Rattus norvegicus: one gene and its partners. The protein of the gene in region 1 interacts with the protein of each later gene in a pairwise test. Links are inferred from orthologs where the notes say so. Each region holds a gene or a part of one and is shown in the gene's direction. Other genes may lie near its edges. The genes, in order: Crk, Usp53 and Dppa4.

Region 1 (3,650 bases):
CCTGAGTTCAGTTCCTTGCACCCACATGGCAGCACACAAAACAATCTATAATTCAAATCTCGGAATCTGATGCCATCTTCCAAGTTGTACGTTTTAGTGATTGTAATCTGTGTACTTAGAGTATCTTTGAAGCTTTTCTTTTGCTGCAGCAGTTGGAGGGACCCAGTAAAAAAGGAGAGTTTGAGGCCAGGCCCACATGCCTTTAATCCCAGTACTTGAGAGGCAGCAACAGGTGGATCTCTGATCTGTGTGAGCCTGGTCTTCAAAGTGAGTTCCAGGCCAGCCAAGGCTAACCAGGGGGTTAGGATAGGGAGCTTGCTGTGTTTCCTGAGGCTGCAGGGCTGTATTTGGTTACTTTCTTTCTAGGGTAGCATCAGAACATGGTGTTGGAGAGTCAAGAAGTGCCTGTGTCACACTCTTTGCAAGCCAAGTGGCCGGGTCCATCATGGCCTTCTCCTATCTCCTCCCCATGGTGATGGGCATCTTGCTTTCCAGGGGATGCTCATTTTACTGTATGTGTATGGGTGTTTTGTCTGTGTGGATGCCTGTGCATCATGTGGGTCATGTGCTGGGAGGGGAGGAATGGGCATTAGATCCTTTGGACTGGGGTTACAGCAGCTGTGAGCCAGTTGGGTCCTCTGTAAGAGGATGCTCAATTTTAAAGGGCGATACCCATTTGGACTGTGAAGAAAGTTTTATTTTTTCAGTATACTTTTTTTTTTTTTTTTTTGTGGTCAGATATTGACTAAATATGTATGAGAAATGCATGAAGTCAACTTCAGTATATCTTCAAATGACACTCTGCTCTGTTTTTTCCAGGAGTGAGTCCCTCCAGGCTCCGAATAGGAGATCAAGAATTTGATTCATTGCCTGCTTTACTGGAATTCTACAAAATACACTATTTGGACACTACAACACTGATAGAACCAGTTTCCAGATCAAGGCAGGGTAGTGGAGTGATTCTCAGGCAGGAGGAGGCAGAGTATGTGCGGGCCCTCTTTGACTTTAATGGGAATGATGAAGAAGATCTTCCCTTTAAGAAAGGAGACATCCTGAGAATCCGGGATAAGCCTGAAGAGCAGTGGTGGAATGCAGAGGACAGCGAAGGAAAGAGGGGGATGATTCCTGTCCCTTACGTGGAGAAGTATAGACCCGCCTCCGCCTCAGTATCGGCTCTGATTGGAGGTAACCAGGAGGGTTCCCACCCACAGCCACTGGGTGGGCCGGAGCCTGGGCCCTATGCCCAACCCAGCGTCAACACTCCGCTCCCTAACCTCCAGAATGGGCCCATTTATGCCAGGGTTATCCAGAAGCGAGTCCCTAATGCCTACGACAAGACAGCCTTGGCTTTGGAGGTACATAATGTGCAAAATGTAGAAAGACGAGATCTGCTACAGGGTCTCCCTTTCAGACCTCTTCCGGCTTTGTAGGAATGCTGATACAGCGCCAGCTTTGTGATGTTGTAGATGTCAAACCATTAAGTACTGACTTTGGCATTTTATGTGGGTTTTCTCTTTTTTAGAGAAAACCTATTTTGCAATGAGTAAATTTAAAACTGTGTAACTGAATGTTCTGATTGATCTACTAAACCTTTGACTAATAACCACCTGATTAGGAATTAACTTGAAGTAATTTTTCTCATCTATATTCCTAACTTCTTTCTTGCTGTTTGCTACTGTCTAAAACAAAATGGGTCCGCCCACAGTAGAGTGTAGTAAGTGGGATGTAGCAGTATACTTAAGTGGGAGTTTTTCATAGGGTTTCCTTTCTGCTTTTTTGAGAGTGGGTGTTTTTATGTAGCTCTGGCTGTCCTGCAATTCACTTTGTAGATCAAGCTGGCCTCAAAGTCACAGAGATCTGCCTGCTTCTGCTTCCTGAGTGCTGGGATGAAAGGTGTGTGCCACCATGCTCAGTCAAAAACTGACTTTATTTTAGTGGATAGTAGATTCCTTACTATTATGTTTGGTATGAATCAAGAAAAGCTGAATGCTAGCCTTCACTAGGCCTTGGTCCCTGCTGTAGGGGACACACACACACACACACACACACACACACACACAAACACACACACACACACACACACACACACACACACACACACACACACACAGAGATATTTGGTGTACAGATGTGAATTTAGCCATAACTAAGAGGGTAAGTTATAAAAAATAGATTTACTTCTCTTTGTTGCTTAGTGTGTTTGAGAAGCCAGTGTTTACAAGAATTATTTTTAACTCAGTCATTCGTGGAAGCCCACTTTGTTATGACCTGGCATTCATTACAGATGTTCTGTGGTTCCTCTTGAGTACTCACAGCTCATCTTCTTACCTGTGTCTTTGCTCCCTCATTACGTGTCAGGAAGAGTAAGTATTCAGGACAAAGGCTGATGCAGAGGTGACCTGCTCTCTCGTATTCCAGAGCCTGCCAACAGACTGGCTTGAGTAGAGAGGGAGCCAGTTCTCATAATTGTGGCCTGAGGTTAGGGGAGCACAGTGGCAGAGGGGAAAGTGCTCTTGTGACTTGGCTCTTCCTTTTCCTTTGGGTTGTGCTCCCACAGTAGGGTAGGAACTGCCTGTAAGTGAGTGGTAGTCCATACAGTGACCTAAGGTGTATTTGAACCAGATTTATTTTTATTTTATGTGATGGGTCTTTTGCCTGCATATGTGTCTGTGTGCCAAATGTCCACAATGGCCAGAAGAGGGCATTGGATGCCTAACAACTGGAGTTATAGACTGCCTTGTGGGTGCTGGCTCTCAAATGCTAGTACTCTGGAAGAGCAGGTCGTGTTCCTAACCACTGAGCAGTCTCACCAGTCCTGAAATTTTTTTCATTTCTAGTCTAATTGAGTTAATTGAGTTTCATAGATTTGATTGAAAACTGCATTATTTATGTGTTTAGATTTTTTTTTTTTTTTTTTTGGAGCTGGGGACCGAACCCAGGGCCTTGCACTTGCTAGGCAAGCGCTCTACCACTGAGCTAAATCCCCAACCGTGTTTAGATTTTTTGAAGCAGGGTCTAACTGTAACTTTGCTGTCTGCCCTGAACTCACTATGTAGACTTGAGCTCACAGAGAGGGTGCTGGGGGTAAAGGCATGTACCACCACACCCAGCTTAAAAAAAACTGTATTTTTCAAATGTTTTGCTTTGTGATATGGGGACTCACTATGTAGCCCAGGCTGTCTTCAAATTCTTGATACTCCTGCAGAAGCCCTCAAGTGTTAGAATTACAGGCTGAAGCTTTGTATTTTTTTGAGATTGTCCTAACTTGTCTTGGCTTTGAGAAGTAAACTGTGTGCTATCTGGGTCACACTGCCTGGCAGATGAAGAAAGCAAGTTTCAGGCTAATGTGGGGTGAGGGGATGATGCCTTTACCTAACAGTGCTATGTACACTGTGGGTGGGCTGTTGACATTGACTGCAGACCTTACTAACAGTGGACTTGGGTGGGACGCAGCATTCCTGGCACAGGTCACTGCACGAGCAGGCGAGGAGAGGAGTCAGTCAGTTCTACCTCAGCTTTGAATTTCTTGGCCAGTTTTTTTTTTTTTTAAAGATTTATTTGACCCGTATAAATGTTTTACCCATTTGTATCGGGTCAGAACTGGAGTTATGGATGGTTGTGAGTCCTGGGAACCGAATCTGGGTCCTCTT
Region 2 (3,650 bases), on another chromosome or scaffold:
GACAATGTTAGTTACCATAAATACTAATCTAGAAAGGGTTTAAGGTTTAAAATCAATCTGTGTATTGATCTCCCTGATACATGTGTGCTTTTTAAAATTGATCCTTTCTAAATTTACTTTGTTATTGTTACAATTAAAAAGAATTATACTTTAAGTGATATTTTAATGTTTCTTCAAATGTGCTATCTAATCAAGAATATATAATTCATCTTACATTTGGAGTATAAGTAAAGTGTCAATTTTGTGTTGCTAGAGAAACTTACTGCACTAATACATGGTGAATCCAATTTGTGGAGCTTAGAGGTTCTGTAGACTAAAAGTGCTCTGTGACAGTTCTGTATCAGTGGCACCTTCAGTAATAATGTTGGATCAAAGCCAGTCTGTAGGTGAAATATTTTCATATAATGTAGATGCATGATTCGTAATTTAAAGAGACAATAGTAAATATACATTAATATTTTTAAATAGCTTTTTTACAGGGTTACTGATGAAAATGCCGTAGACAGTGAACTGCACCTTGTTGGTATGATCTGTTACACCAGCCGACACTACTGTGCCTTTGCGTTTCACACCAAGAGCTCCAAGTGGGTGTTTTTTGATGATGCACTTGTGAAGGAGGTAAGTAAGACCTGTGCTGACTGCAGTAACCATTGGGACTTCCACACGACAGACGTACATAACAATATATACGGTACTGGCATAATTGTTAAGAGTAATGGATTAAAGGATAAGCTACCTATTGCAATTTTTTAAATTTTAGTTTATTTTAAAACTTAAGTTTTAATCTAGTCCAGTTTTAGAGTAATGAGTTTGGGGGTAGGGATAGAATGAGGCACTGTTTTTCCAGTTTTGTGTATATAATAAGGAATTGGGTATATGTTCTTTTGATAAATTATTTGTTTGCTTTTTGAAACAGTGTCTCACATTATAAACCATTCTAACCTAGAATTAATATGTAGCTAAAATAGCCTTAAACTCACAGCAGTCCTCCTATCTCAGCATCTTATGTGTGGAATTGTAGGTGTAACACATTGTACCTGGCTTGTTAAAAATTATCTGTTATTTGTTTGATATGTATGCTGTAGTGTGCCTGTGCGTGTCTGTACATACACATGTATGTGTGTGTGTGTGTGTGTGTGTGTGTGTGTGTGTGTGTGTGTGTGTATGTGCGCACCCGCGCGCGAGTGTGCGCATGTGCGGCTCACCCTGCAGGGGAAGTCAGGACAGTTTACATGAACTGATGCTCTCCTCCCACCATGAAGGTTTCCTGATGAGAACTGGGTTGTCAGCTTGTCACGGGTGCTTTTGCCCAGCAGTTCACTGCTGACTCGGTGCTTGTCTTTGAATAAACTGTGGCTGGACTCTAGAATTCTTCCTTACCTAGTAGATGCCCAAGGATCTGAGGTTTTAAAAAAGAGTTCTAAAACAGATTTAGACCTGAGAAAGTTGAAAGCAATTGATCTTGTGAGCACTTCTCAAAGTTCACTAGCTTTGGAAATTTTATTAATAAACTGTTAAACTGGTTTTAAAATTAGAAATCCATAGGTTTTACAAGCACGTGGTATGGAACTTTATGTACTTTCTTCATAACACATAACAAAGGCCATTTGTCAACTCTGATTGTTTTCATAGACATTTCTTAGATAGCATTCACTGAACATCTTTTAGGCCATAAAAAATGAATACTGATAAATTGGGGTCATCAAAATTTAATAAAACTTTTGCCCTTTAGTAAGACGTTCTTAGAATAAAATGACAAGCTGGAGGCTGGAAGAGAGTATTTGTCTGACATATGTAATAGAGCCAGTATCCAGAATGCATGTCTTAGGTTGACTTGTTTTTAGTATAGGGGATTGAAGCTTACAGCGCTATATATCCTAAGCAAGTGGTCTCTGCCACTGAACTTTAGCCCCAGCTCTGTATTCAAAATATTAAAATATAAAATTTTACAGCTCTACAATAACAAGATGACCAATTTTTCTTTAACAAATGAATAAGACTTTGCTAAAGTATACAAATGTTTTCTGTTACATTCTATTTATCCTCAGCTGTTGAGAAATACACAGAGTTCATGGCGGGATCCCAGTACTTACTCAGTGTATTGACTAAACTCAAAAAGAATTACTAAAACCATAATTAGCAAGGATAATGAAACTGAGGAATTGAGCAGCCACTTGAGAAAACAGCCTGTGTTTGTTTTTAATTTGAGGGAGGGAGGAAGGGAGGGAGGGAGGGAGGGAGGGGGAGAGAGAGAGAGAGAGAGAGAGAGAGAGAGAGTGTGTGTGTGTGTGTGTGTGTGTGTGTGTGTACAGGAGGGAAGGTTTTAGAGCAAGGATTCTGTAATGTACTTTGAAATGTAAATTAATTCAGTTTCTGCCTATTAATATTACAGACGTCAGGAATGGTTTATGTTTCTTTACTGTGATTTTGCTTTTAAAGATCGGAACCAGATGGAAAGATGTGGTCTCCAAGTGCATCCGATGCCACTTACAGCCACTTTTGCTGTTTTATGCAAACCCAGATGGTACAGCAGTCTCTACTGAGGACGCACTCAAGCAGGTTGTCCACTGGTCACATTACAAATCTGTTGAAGAAAATATGGGTAATTCCTTTTAAAAAGTAATTTTTGATATTTTTCATTTATTACAATTAGCTACTGAATGTAAGAGGAATGTGGAGAATATTTTAAAATTGAGTTTTAGCCAATTGAAATCCAGGATAATTTTACTATGTTTTGTTGATCTTTTCAAAGAAACCTTTCCCTCCCAGTAGCCTCAGAAGGCTGTTAGGAATTCCCCAGTATGGTCAATGTGGTGCACCCAGAGCACAGAAGAAGCTATAGGGAACTCTTTCTGTCAGTGAATTCTGAGATGGTAAATGTTTAGTAACCAGAAAAGTCTGAAGCAGCAAAACACAGCGAATAAAGCCCTGAGTGACGTCACCCCTAGGATATTAACTTATTTTGTCTGGGGTATTAAAAATGTCTGAACAATGACTTAAATATCTTTTCTTCTAATGAGAAAGAAAGAAATAATGTGTTTTTAACTGTCTTTTCAAGGATGTGAAAAGCCTATCATTTATAAACCAGATAATTTGAAGGAAAATGGATTTGGTGGTCAGATAAAGCAGAAAGAAAATCACAAATTTCAAGGTGATAACATTTCCTCCTTTAATCGGAGCCAAGTGCAGACAAGTGGAAGGAGAGCACCAGGTATGTTTTTACTCTGTCCGGTGTGCAGGGTGTGTGAACAGCTGAGCAACCTGTAACTCCTGGTAAGAACTGAACAGAAAGGCTAAACTGCCTTCCTCTGCCCGTGAAGAGACAAGGCTAGGTAGATTTGTGTCTTTTTGTGAATGTGTTTCTCAGTTAGGATTCCACTGACCTGTTTGAGATTGTCTGTGCAGTGGAACAAGACAGCATGAGTTCACACGAGTTTTGTAAACTTCGGCCAGCTTTTCATTATTCTAGGCTTTATATCTTACACGAGTTGGATATAGTTACGGTGCCCACCTCGGAGACCTCCATAAGTCAGAATACTTAGAGCACAGCAGTTCCCATCCTTTTTCTTACACATGCGTTAGGGACTGTAGAAAACATTTAAAGAAAGCGTGGGTCTCCAGTGTCAAGAAAAATCATGCTGAACATTAAT
Region 3 (3,750 bases), on another chromosome or scaffold:
GGGCAAGCAAGTTACCAGTATAGTTTCCCACAAATCATCATCATTTGCAAAACAGTGACTGAATTTTACTGCCAGAATTCACTACATATTCAGTAGACTTTAAAAACTTTTTATTGGGAAAAAAAAAAAAAAAGTCTGCTGGCAGTACATGCCTTTAGTCCCAGCTCTCTAGAGGCAGAGGCGAGAGGATCTATGTGAATTCAAAGCCAGCCTGGTCCAGGTCCAGGATAGCAGGCTACACAGAGAAACCAACTAGCACCAACAAAACCTTTTAACAGTTGGCAGATAGAAAGTTAAGGTTTGAAGCCAGGCTTGGTGGCCAGAGTTCCAATCCTGAGGAGGCTAGAAGATCAGAAACTCAAGCCCAGGCCCAGCGTGAGGGGGCACACCTTGAATCTTAGCAGTCAGGAGTCAGAGACAGGAAAATCTCAGAGTGCTCTGGGTCCCTAGGGACTTCTATTATGGAGAACTTAAAAAAAAAAAAAAAAAAAAAAAAAAGGAGGGTTGGATGGGGAGGATTTACAAAAGTTGTAATTTTGTGGGCTGGGATTGTAGCTCAGTGGTAGACTGATTAGTATGCAGAAACAAAGTCCTGCGAGAGCCCAAAACCACAGAAACAATACAACCCCCCTGTGGTCTTATAGTAAAAGAATTCTGGAGTCACAAGAAATGGGTTGTTTTCATTCCTGTCCAGGTTGCTAATTCCATTAGGTAAATTTGCAATCTGCTTATACAGCTTGTTCAGAATTCTCTAGGAACTTCACTTTCCCTTAGCAATATTTAGAGGTTCCTTCCTTCCTTCCTTCCTCCCTCGATCCCTCCCCCCCTCCCTCCTTTCCTATTTTTTTTTTTTTTTTTTTTGGTTCTTTTTTTTTTCGGAGCTGGGTTTTGTTTTTTTTTAAAGACAGAATCCCACCATGTAGGCCAGGCTGGCCAGAAAACTCAGAGAGATCCACCTGCCTCTGCCTCTCGAATGCTGGGATTAAAGGCATTCGCCACCACGCCCAGCAATAGTTACAGTTTAAAATTTCCCAGATTTACAGTTGCCAGGAGTAGGGCGTGGCAGCTCGCTCCTTTAAATCTCTGTATTCCCGAGTCCCAGACAGTACAATAAACATAGGTATATAAAGCATTTCAGGCCAGGCAACCCTGCCTCCAAAAAGAAAAAGAAAAAAAGAAATTCAGAGGAAAAAAGCAAAAATAATCAAACCACACAATAGCGGCTTTATTAAAATTAGCCACAAACCAGACTTTAGCATCACAATTTTGTTGGGGGTGGGACCAGGAGGGGAGGGGAACGGAAGAGGGCCTCAAGACAACAGGAAGTAGGAGGAGACTTTTAAAAGCCGAAGGAGGCCATAGGTCATTTGGAAGCTAGGAGAACTTTCTTTCGGAGGTCTCATCTAAATTCAAGATGGAGCCGTCTGGAAGCAAGAAGGTGAGACCTGTTTTTACAAGTCGGCTTTCCAAACTAGTCAGTCTAGGGCCTCTTTTTTGGAGTATACCCAGCCTTGTTTGGGGAAGAAAAGAAGGAGCGTTACAATTTGTTACACTTTAATTTTTTTTTTTTAAGGTAGGTAGGTGTGTGGCTCCGCCCGCCCTCTCTGACGTGGCCTTGCACGAGGCCCGCGGGCCTGGTTGTAGATGTGTTAGGAGAGGAGGTTGTGATTTGCCAGAAAGGAATTTAGAATGCGGTAGCTGGAGGGAAATGGTCACAGGATAAAACAGGATATGAACCGAGCCTCGGAAGGAACTGGAGTCCCCAATGGCCGGGAGAAGACCTGAGGGCTTAACTCAGAAATGCCTGTTACCTGGCTTCTAGGCCTTTTGTTTATATCCAAAGGTCCTCAGAGTTGAGGAGGTTTGAGAAGACAGACCTGACTGACAGGCTCTGCTGGTTCCTAACTAACTGTAGTAGCCAGAATCCTGAGCACTTTCCAGGGCTCCTTCCAGCCGTTTCCAGCTTTCTCTAGTGTACAAATTTTGTTAGGTCCAAAAGTGAGTAGTTTATAAAGAGGCGAATATAAGTCTTATTGTCCTTCTGAAGCTAGTTCCTGTTGTGATATAAAAAAGTACCGAGGTGTCTAGTAACAGGCAAATGTTAATTTGTCACTTACTCCCACTCTTGCGGGGGCGGGGGGTGGGAAGGTGGGGGTTGGAAAAGATCTGGGTTTTCCAGCGAAGTGACCTAGTGTTTTTACTTATTTATTTAATGAGTTTTTGTTTTGTTTTGTTTTGTTTTTTGTTTTTTGGGAGACAGGATTTCTCTGTAGCCCTGGGTGGCCTGGGACTTGTCCTGTGAACCGGGCTGGTTTTCCTCCCCAATGCCACCTCTCCTGGCTTTTTTGTTTGATTTTGTTTCTTTCTGAAACAAGGTTTCTCTGTAGCCCTGGCTGTCCTGTAAGTCACTCTTGTAGACCACGCTGGCCTCGAACTCGGATAAAGGCATGTGCCATGACCACCCAGCTTAATAAGCTTTAAACTTTTGGTCCTGAAAATACAGTAGTAGTTAGGAAATTATATAAAGGGAAGGAGTGTGTTTAGTCTTGTATCTTCTAGAAGAGGCCTAATACTTGTTAGGTTTTTTTGCCTGTTTGTTTTTTCTGTGCTTAGGGATCGTTTCTAGTTTTGTTGTTGTTGCTTTTGTTTTGTTTTTGTAATCTCTGTTCCCTTAATTAAGCAGAATATTTATTATCCATTGCCCGCAATAAAAGGGGAAGGGGCTCCACTCTTGTGGAGTTTAAAATCAGATGGAATCAATTGACAAGTGGAAATGAGGTAATATGTGGTAGATTTTATAGAGATTTGGCAAAATAACCTTTGAATTAAGACTTGGATGGGAGTCAGGTATAAGAACTGAAGAAGAGATCGGTCGGTGTTAACATGTCACCAGGCTGTTGTCACAATTGGAAAGTGTCCCTAGGCCATGTCTGAGAGGCTCTGAAGGGAAGTCAGCCATGGAAGTGGTACAATGTCTTTGGTACATCACCCTGGCTACAAAGTCTTTGGGTGAGCCTAGAACCAAGGACTGGGGGAAAATATTTGGGATATGAGAAGATAGAGTAAGGTTTTCTTCCCCAAAGAGGGAACTACTCTTGGGTAGTTTTCATTATCTTCTGTTGCTTTGTTCATAGCTATTTCATTTGTTTTATCCTGTAGCCAAAGGTTGGCCCTTGGTGACCCCCACCCCCCCACACCTGCATTCACTGCCTAGGTGCTAAGATTACAGCTACTGCAATGTTTTTCTTCCTTCCTTTAAGATAGTCCCACAGTGGGTGGGTCTAAGAAGAAGACTGGGGTACTTCTGTGTTCCAGGACAGCCAGGGAGGCTATGTAGAGAAAAACCCTACAAGCCTGGGCTGGCCTGGCCCTGATTTTAGCCACTACTAGGGTTACAGTCATGTGGCGCTAAGCCTGCTTTTCGTTTTGACTCCCTCTCTTTCCCTGACCATTGCTTCCCTACTTTATAACTCAGGTTGGTTATTCAAATGATGTCCCATGAGAATGCACACTGGTAAACACGTGCGCTGACCTCCTGGGGACCTTAGATATGAGTTAGTTTAGAGCAAGTGAAGGGCTATGCTGTCTCAGGACATCAGGCAACTCTGTAACCCACTCCCCTGTCCACAGGGGCGTGCAGAGGAGCCAAGGGAAGAAGTGGAATGCCAGATGTCTAGCCAACCGAGCACGTCTTCTGCAAAGACTAAAGCAACGGGGAAGAAACAAAGAAAGTCAGAGAAAGATGACGGT

Evidence for each region.
Region 2: the proteins of Crk (region 1) and Usp53 interact in binary tests that used the Homo sapiens proteins (3 or more experiments, as listed by UniProt). The two-hybrid records come from large-scale screens. The link is inferred for Rattus norvegicus from reciprocal best matches to the Homo sapiens genes CRK and USP53.
Region 3: the proteins of Crk (region 1) and Dppa4 interact in binary tests that used the Homo sapiens proteins (3 or more experiments, as listed by UniProt). The two-hybrid records come from large-scale screens. The link is inferred for Rattus norvegicus from reciprocal best matches to the Homo sapiens genes CRK and DPPA4.

The regions. Positions count from the first base shown.
Region 1 is NC_086028.1:61,038,820-61,042,469, forward strand, and holds part of Crk (adapter molecule crk), read left to right. Parts: intron 1-819; coding exon 820-1,355; intron 1,356-3,650. UniProt on the Homo sapiens protein: Involved in cell branching and adhesion mediated by BCAR1-CRK-RAPGEF1 signaling and activation of RAP1.
Region 2 is NC_086020.1:213,774,169-213,777,818, reverse strand, and holds part of Usp53 (inactive ubiquitin carboxyl-terminal hydrolase 53), read left to right. Parts: intron 1-468; coding exon 469-618; intron 619-2,439; coding exon 2,440-2,602; intron 2,603-3,058; coding exon 3,059-3,211; intron 3,212-3,650. UniProt on the Homo sapiens protein: Deubiquitinase that mediates 'Lys-63'-linked deubiquitination of tight junction proteins, such as MARVELD2 and LSR, and which is involved in the survival of auditory hair cells and hearing.
Region 3 is NC_086029.1:66,039,350-66,043,099, reverse strand, and holds the start of Dppa4 (developmental pluripotency-associated protein 4), read left to right. Parts: upstream 1-1,345; 5' UTR 1,346-1,414; coding exon 1,415-1,438; intron 1,439-3,630; coding exon 3,631-3,748; intron 3,749-3,750. UniProt on the Homo sapiens protein: May be involved in the maintenance of active epigenetic status of target genes. May inhibit differentiation of embryonic cells into a primitive ectoderm lineage.